Linked DNA regions of Xenopus tropicalis. The protein of the gene in region 2 interacts with the protein of the main gene of each other region in a biochemical or structural test. Links are inferred from orthologs where the notes say so. Each region holds a gene or a part of one and is shown on either strand. Other genes may lie near its edges. The genes, in order: igf1r and arhgef12.

Region 1 (3,830 bases), on a different chromosome or scaffold from region 2:
GGCATTTAAACCCTTGAGGGTAGTACAGTCACAGATATCCAATCACATGATGATAAGAAAGTATGATCCGGTCACAAAAGTACTATGGTTCTTTTTGAGGCAGGTGTTAATCTTTCAGTACATGACTGGATGTGTGCATTGTTGTGAAACCACTGAGGTAAGGATGTCAAAGGGGCATTGTAAGTTGCTGACAAGCGATGTGGCAGGCCCCCTCCTCATGGCCTGACACATAAGCTGGTGCACTCATCTACTCTTTTTATCTTCACATGACTTTTCCAGTCACTTGTTGCCCCTGTCCCAACGTTTTTGAAACGTGTTGCTGGCATCATCATCATCATCATCATCAAAATGTACATATGTTTTTTAGAAAACAAAACTTCTCATTTTTGATGTTGTATTTGAACTATTGTTATTACTTAAAAGGTTTAAATGGTTTGCAAATCATCACATTCTCTTTTTATTTTTAACATTTGTCACATTCCCCCAACCTCTTTGGAGACGGGGTTGTACAAATAGAGCTGTCCACTCTAAAGGGCAGAATTAACATGTCAACAGACCACTTTAACAATTGTCAAATACCTACAATGGGGTAAAAAGTGTCAGTCCAGGAAAGAGGTCTTCTGCTATTGGCTTAAAGAGGCTAAACTAGGATACCTTCACTGATGACTCCCTGCATGGTGATTTCAGCTGGTTCATAAGACATTCTAGGGCACAGATTTAAAGGTCATACACACTACATTCTATAATGCAACTGTGATCCTGTTTGGCGAGTTCAAATGAAGTGATCCGGTTAGCTGGATCACACTCCAACACATGCTGTCTATGGTAACAGAAGGGTAATGTTGCCATTATGAAAAAGAATCTTAGCTGCACGTGGTGGACCCAATCCTTGTTCTTGTATTCTAGACTTTAGCAACTGGCTGTCTTGTGAGAGGCTTACTGATTTGCACTTTACATAATCCATCATCCCTTGTATCACCCAAAGGTACAGCTGATCCATTTCAAGCTCCAAGGCGTGGCTTAAATCACAGGTTAGATCAATAAACATGGTTCACAGGTTCAACACTCTTTCCTACTAAACCACAAAGTTCTTTACCAGAGTCTTATCAATTTAATACAACAAGGTAATTCACACAACTCATTACAGACATTGTAAGTTGGTATCTACAGTCATTGAGCGTTTCATTATGCCATTGTTTTGTAGTATCATAGAGCTAAAAATTTATGGCGAGTGCTTTATGGATTATGGCACATTGATTGTTTTGATGGTGGTAGTCTTCACAAAAGAAACAATAGAGGTCAAAACACCCCACACAGTTAAATTGTAACATAGTGATTGCTGTGGCGCTCTTGCTTACCTTGGCACAAAAATGGAATTGTGGAGGAAATTTTCAAAAACCTTTCTGTATTCAGCTTCATCTTTTTCTGCTTTTTTCTCTGCCTCGGTTTTAGGACAGGCACAGCAATGGCCCTTTTCTCCTGTGTTGCCTTCTGGCTTTGTCAGCTCTGTCACACCTTCAGTATCAATGGTCCCATTGGCGTATTTCCGATTGGGTACTTTATCTGAAAGCAAAATAACATGATGTACACCATTTCATTTCCTAAAGACAGCATAGAAAAGCTGTACTGTATTTGCTTAAAAACAGGCAACACCAGTGCTGCTTTGCCATGAAATCATTTGAAGATACTGGACATGTAACCCTCAGAGCACTGCACACCACTATAATAATCTTCCCACACACAACAGGAGGCTACAGTGACAGTCGCCGCACCTCTGAAGCAATAGTTGTACTGATACAAGTGTCTGTCCTGAGGCTGCTGCTGCCATCGCACAATATAGTAGGAGAGGTTCCCATTTGGTTGACTGGGTGAGTTCCACTTCACCACCAGCTGAGAAGACGAGTTGGATGCGGAGATCACATCTTGGGGGATGGAAGGAACTGGAATTAAAAACAAAAAAAACAATTATGTTAGAATTCATCCTCATGCTTAGAACAAGCTGTACATATGACTCTGAATAACATACCCTATTAGCAAAGCACTGCAAAATGAACATGGCAGAAAACTCTGCATCAGTCAAGCTATAATCTAGAAAAGTCACAATCATGGCAGGCAATGGGCTGTGGCTTCCTTCTTGTGATGGTGAATCCCCAAGCTGTATGAGTGCATACTGTGTTTGCAGACTCATGCAGGGTGTGTAGATGCTCCAGGCAAAAAGACACAGGGGTGACATACATCTCAGCGTGATTGTCTTTTCAGTTCTGCAAACCCTGGAGATGCTCGGCAATCCCTCTGGAACCCATTTCCCATCAATTTTAACAAGTTCCTTTCATTGCCTTATGGGAGCTGACAAAGTCTGTGTTCCCCTGTATTTTCAGTCTTTTAAATTTTACCATCAGCTGTAACATACTGCACTTGTGTAATCATGCATTCCTCCTAAACAAGATTTACCTTACTGCTATCTTTCAATTTAGGTGGTAAGCTTTATTCTGGCATTCAACCAAATGCCTTGTTGGTAGGGTCACTGGTTTTGGTAACCAGGCATTTGCAAGAATGACAGAAAGCAAAAAAAACCTTTAAACTAAAACATTATCTTCTTATTCCAGCACTTTAACATCATATAAATATTATAGGTATGTATTTGCTTTGGCTGAACACATACCTGCTGCATCTGTTCGTATATATATGATCTTGCTTTTGGCACCATGAATATGACGGCTCTCCAGCATGGTCAAGGTAATAGCCTTCACATAGATTGCATATTGTGTCCAAGGCTTCAGTCCCTGCAGGAGGATTCCAGGGTCACTTTCCTTGCTGGCTGGGAGGTCCACATCAACCATATTCCAGCTGTTGGATCCACATGCATCCTGACCATCATACTCTGTTACATTATGGAAGAGTCTGAAGTGTAAGAAAAAGGAAGCAGAGACATAATCAGAGGAAAGCCTAAAAGCTAAATGCAGCAAAATTGGAAATTTGGAAGCTGTGTTGTTTTTGTTTGGCTTACAAGAGATATAAGCTTAGCTGAGAAACAAAGAAAACTGCAGTTAACTGGCTACTTATTAAAATGCCCATATTGTATGTGAATGTCATAGGGACATTTAACTGTTAACTCCACTGGGGAAGGGGCTGATTAGAGTGACAGACAATTTTTGAAAAGAATTGTGGAAATGTGTTATATATAAATAAAATAATTACTTGCTAGATCTTTTCACCATTTAGATAATACTAGACATCTAACCATTCTGCAGCATTAGTACCCCTAGACAAAACATTTACTGTCTTATCATTAACCTGTTCTGATACAGAAGTCGCTTGTGTCTAAGGATACTATGCAATGTGAATATGGACTAATATTCTAATCACACTTTATATATATTTATAGTGTATAAGCTGGGCCCTAGATCTGGTGATTAACATTACAACCAGAACATGTGAATCAGCAGAAAGATGTAAAGCATTCTCCAAGCCACAAATATATTCAGTGTTAAAGGGATGTGATGGCTTTGTAGGCTGGCACAAAACATAAGAAGCAACATTCCTAGCCTAATATATTGCAGAGCATTATCACTTAAACCTCATTTTGCTCTGCCCTTTATATAAAAGGACAGAACACCTAGAACAGATAGATGGTAAAGAATGCTGCATTGCTGATATATATCCAAGAAGCAGCACTAACTATAATTTAATCTATGCTTAGCTTTTTACACCTTTATTAGAGGAAACCATTATAGATCAACCTTTAACTGACAGTTCATCCTTGGGTAAGTGCAAGCGCCACAGGAATATGGTTGTAATGTGGGACTCACGCCTCTTTGTAGTAGACAGTG
Region 2 (3,830 bases):
CTGTCAAATTCAGCAGTCAGCAGTCGGGGCTGGAAAGAGTCACGGAGAGATGTTGCGGCTATAACTCACTGCTGGATTTGACAGGAGGCACGAACGATGGCAAGTGAGGGAGCAGGCAGAGCTGGACACGAAGGGAGAGATAGGACAGGAGGCAGGATTGCTAGTGAGGGAGCAGGAAGGGCTCGGAACAGAGGGAGAGCTATGACAGGAGGCAGGGTCACAAGAGAGGGAACTGGAGGAGTTAGGAAGGGGGGGGGGGAGAGAAAAGGTTGTGCTGCTATAACTGACTGCTGGATTTGACTGGAGGCACAATCGCAAATCAGGGAGCAGGGGGGCTAGGAAGGAGGGTGAGAAAAGATCCTGATCAGTCCTGTGAACCTCCTGTAAAATCCAGCTGTTAATTATACCAGCACAATCTTTTGAGTTCCAGCTCCCCTCCACTGAATATTTTTTATCTGTTCCCAGCACAATACTTTTCTGGTAAGGCATCCTAGTGATCCCTTCTCCCCAGCCCATGCCACTGCTGTGCCAATTTTTTCATATTTCATATATTTCACATTTTCTGTTAACCATTACCTTTTTTCCAATCTTGCTGTACCAGAAATATGTTTCCAAAAAGTTCCACATCTTACATTCTTTTATTCCTTGTTCCTCTGTGCCCTTATCCTGTCCACAATCTCCTCTACCTGTTTGCTCCTGCCATTCTGTCCTATATTTATCTTTGCTGCTTCTGTGTGCCATGCTGCCTCCCATCTGTATCCTCACTACTCCAGTGTGCCATACTGCCTCCCATCTGTACCCTCAGAGCTCCAGTGTGCCATACTGCTTCCCATCTGTATCCTCAGAGCTCCAGTGTGCCATACTGCTTCCCATCAGCTACACCTCAGATTTTCAAAAACTGGCAGAAAACATGCAGTGCCAGATTTCACACTAATATTTTGATATTATATAACATTTTAATATAGTGTATATTATTATTATTAAAAATTGTGTTTGCGCTACTGTTCACGTATTGTGTTGCTCACGAACAAGTTTTGCAGCTGAATGTTACTCACGGGGTAAAAAAGGTTGGGGATCCCTGTATTACCTATATTGTAAAAGTGCCACTCACCAAGGTGATTAAAATACCTTTGTTTCAAGAGCAGTTATAAATGATATGCAATGTAAATAACCTATTAAATATAACCATGACAGACTACAGCTGGTCCAGGGTAATATGTATAGATATGTGTGTAACATTTAGTAGTATATGAGGTGTGTGTGTGTGTGTGTGTGTAAGAGTGTTAATATATGTCTCCCAAAGGGGAAGACAAATATATCTCCATGTTCCAGAATATATGCCTGCCTTCATTGTTGCACCCGCCATCATGTATCTGTAAAAAGCAATAGTATATGTTAAATTAGTTTGTCATTATTACAAATTTACTTTCCAAAATTTGTGAATGATCAGGGCAGGTTCATACACTATGTGACCGATACTATTTAATAGAAACTATCTGTTGGTTAAGTATTCATTCTGGGGGTATAGTGTTTCTTATAGTTAAATGCACACCTACCATGGGATAGCTGAATAAGTGTGCTTGAGGACCTAAATAGATTTCATAGATCTGCATTCTTTGTATACTTCTTGTAGATTGTAAGCTCTTTTGGGCAGGGCCCTCTTCACCTTTTGTATCGGTTATTGATTGCTTTATATGGTACTCTGTATGTCCAATGTATGAAACCCACTTATTGTACAGCACTGCGGAATATGCTGGCGCTTTATAAATAAATGTTAATAATAATATACTGAAAAATGCTGTTTATTCACAGCAATACCATACAATATGTGATTCTAACCTATATGAAGCATCTTGGTGTGAAAGTTAAAGAGCCACGAAGTCTTGAACAGAAACGTGGTCGAATTGGATTCCTCCCAAAAATTAAGGTAAATTAAGATATCTTAATCTTCCAGTGTTTTATATTGTCCGCATTAGTATCCATTAATGTCCAGTAGTACCGTAAGCTTTATATGCAGTTAAAAAAAATCGATAAAAAAATCCATATATACAGATATGTATATGCATATACAGATATCTAAGTAAATTTATATCTGTGTATGTACATATGTGTGTATATATCTATATACATATATACAGCTATAAATCACATTTGCACTTTGATGAAAACACTAAAAATATTGTCTACTTATCTGAAATAAGCAAACCTTCTGTTTTGCTCTTGTTTTAGCAAAGTATGAAGAAAGATCGGGAGGGTGAGGAAAAGGTGAAGCGAAGAGGGTTTCCCAGCATCCTTGCACCTCAGAGGAAGCCTAGCCGACAAGATAGTAATGCAAGTACGTATAAATCCTACCAGTCACATTGCAAATTGTTGTCACTAATTATCTAAATATTCCAACCCAGGACCTCAGACTATATGGCTAATTTGGTATTCTCAATAACTGAATATTTGTCTGCATGCTAATGAGGATGATGAGTGTGTATAAGAGAGTGAGCATGTCAAAAACTCCTCCAGGAACAGTACCAATCGTTATATGAAGAAGCAGCATATAAATAACTGGAATTCAGAATAGAGTGATTAAATAATAATGGTTAGCTCTAAAATATAGTTGAGAAACATCTATAATATCTCAGCCTATGTTGGCAGGTATATCACTGATAACCTGTGATGCAGATACTGCTGTTTAAAGGGATACAATCTTTCATTTAAAATGTAATGTTAAGTAAATCCAGCTAAAAAATGAAAAGGTAGTTTCTCAGTTTATATATGAAAAATGTACATCCTTGCAGTTTCTTTCCAGTCAATGTTTCACTGCACAGAATGAGTCTGAAGTGTATATATGTGCCTATTTGCCATGAAAACTCCCTCTGTAAGGCACTTACAGAATTATTCTATGAGTTTATCAGGAGAATACTGCATATCTTTACTTGGGCCTGAATATCCAGTTGGACATTTACCCTTATATGAGCATATGTGCTGGTCATAGTAAGGTTGCAGTAACAACCAAATAAGTGCATATTAAAACTCCATACACAAAGCAGTTGTGTCCAGATTGCTACTTACTAATCTGAATTAGTAAGGCACAGTATTCAGAGGCACCAGAAGAGCCATGGACTTTACATCTGCACTTACAGCCTCCAAGCTTCTAATAGCCAAAATGTTTTAGTGGAACTGGCAAGTAATTAACAGGTATATGTTTAGCAGCTATAGAGTCCTATATTTGATTTCCGCATGAGCAGTACAGGTGTATATTCAAGGAGGTTTTACTTTCTCACCATACATGTTTCAGCTTGTTACTTCTGTTTCCTCATACAATTAGTTCCAAATAAATTAGACCACACTGCGTGTGAATAGGTTGTAAACTTCACTGGGGCAGGGAATTATGTAAATGGTGTATAACCTCTTTAAAACTCTGCAGAATATGTTGGCGTTATGTAAATAATCCATTTTGCCATATAACTTGTACCATTGGCATGAATATTTGTGTCCCCCCCCAACTAGTTCGCCAAATTAATATGGTTCCCGTTAGGGAAAAAATGATAGAAAAACTGGTTTATTAACACTTTTACGATGTCTTGATTTTTATGTTCAGTTGGCAGGGCTATGGAACTTCAGCGGCCACGCCACCCCAAGCACTTATCCACATCTTCATCCAGTAGCCCTGAACCAGCAGATGGAAGTAGATTGCGCACTAGCGGTGGCTCCATTGAGGGTTCTGACACACCGTTCTCTCCATCATCTAATTTGGGTGCAGCATACACCTTTCAGGAAGTTGGCAGAGAAGTGGAAGGAAGTTAGTACCTCTCTTACAAGACAAATTTATAAGTTAT

Evidence for each region.
Region 1: the proteins of arhgef12 (region 2) and igf1r form a complex in vitro, tested with the Homo sapiens proteins (2 studies listed by BioGRID and IntAct, with this or other methods). The link is inferred for Xenopus tropicalis from reciprocal best matches to the Homo sapiens genes ARHGEF12 and IGF1R.

What each region holds. Positions count from the first base shown.
Region 1 is NC_030679.2:114,864,944-114,868,773, forward strand, and holds part of igf1r (insulin-like growth factor 1 receptor), read right to left. Parts: coding exon 3,810-3,830; intron 2,902-3,809; coding exon 2,663-2,901; intron 1,941-2,662; coding exon 1,773-1,940; intron 1,564-1,772; coding exon 1,359-1,563; intron 1-1,358. UniProt on the Homo sapiens protein: Receptor tyrosine kinase which mediates actions of insulin-like growth factor 1 (IGF1). Binds IGF1 with high affinity and IGF2 and insulin (INS) with a lower affinity. The activated IGF1R is involved in cell growth and survival control.
Region 2 is NC_030683.2:78,844,527-78,848,356, reverse strand, and holds part of arhgef12 (rho guanine nucleotide exchange factor 12), read left to right. Parts: intron 1-1,812; coding exon 1,813-1,927; intron 1,928-2,229; coding exon 2,230-2,335; intron 2,336-3,592; coding exon 3,593-3,793; intron 3,794-3,830. UniProt on the Homo sapiens protein: May play a role in the regulation of RhoA GTPase by guanine nucleotide-binding alpha-12 (GNA12) and alpha-13 (GNA13). Acts as guanine nucleotide exchange factor (GEF) for RhoA GTPase and may act as GTPase-activating protein (GAP) for GNA12 and GNA13.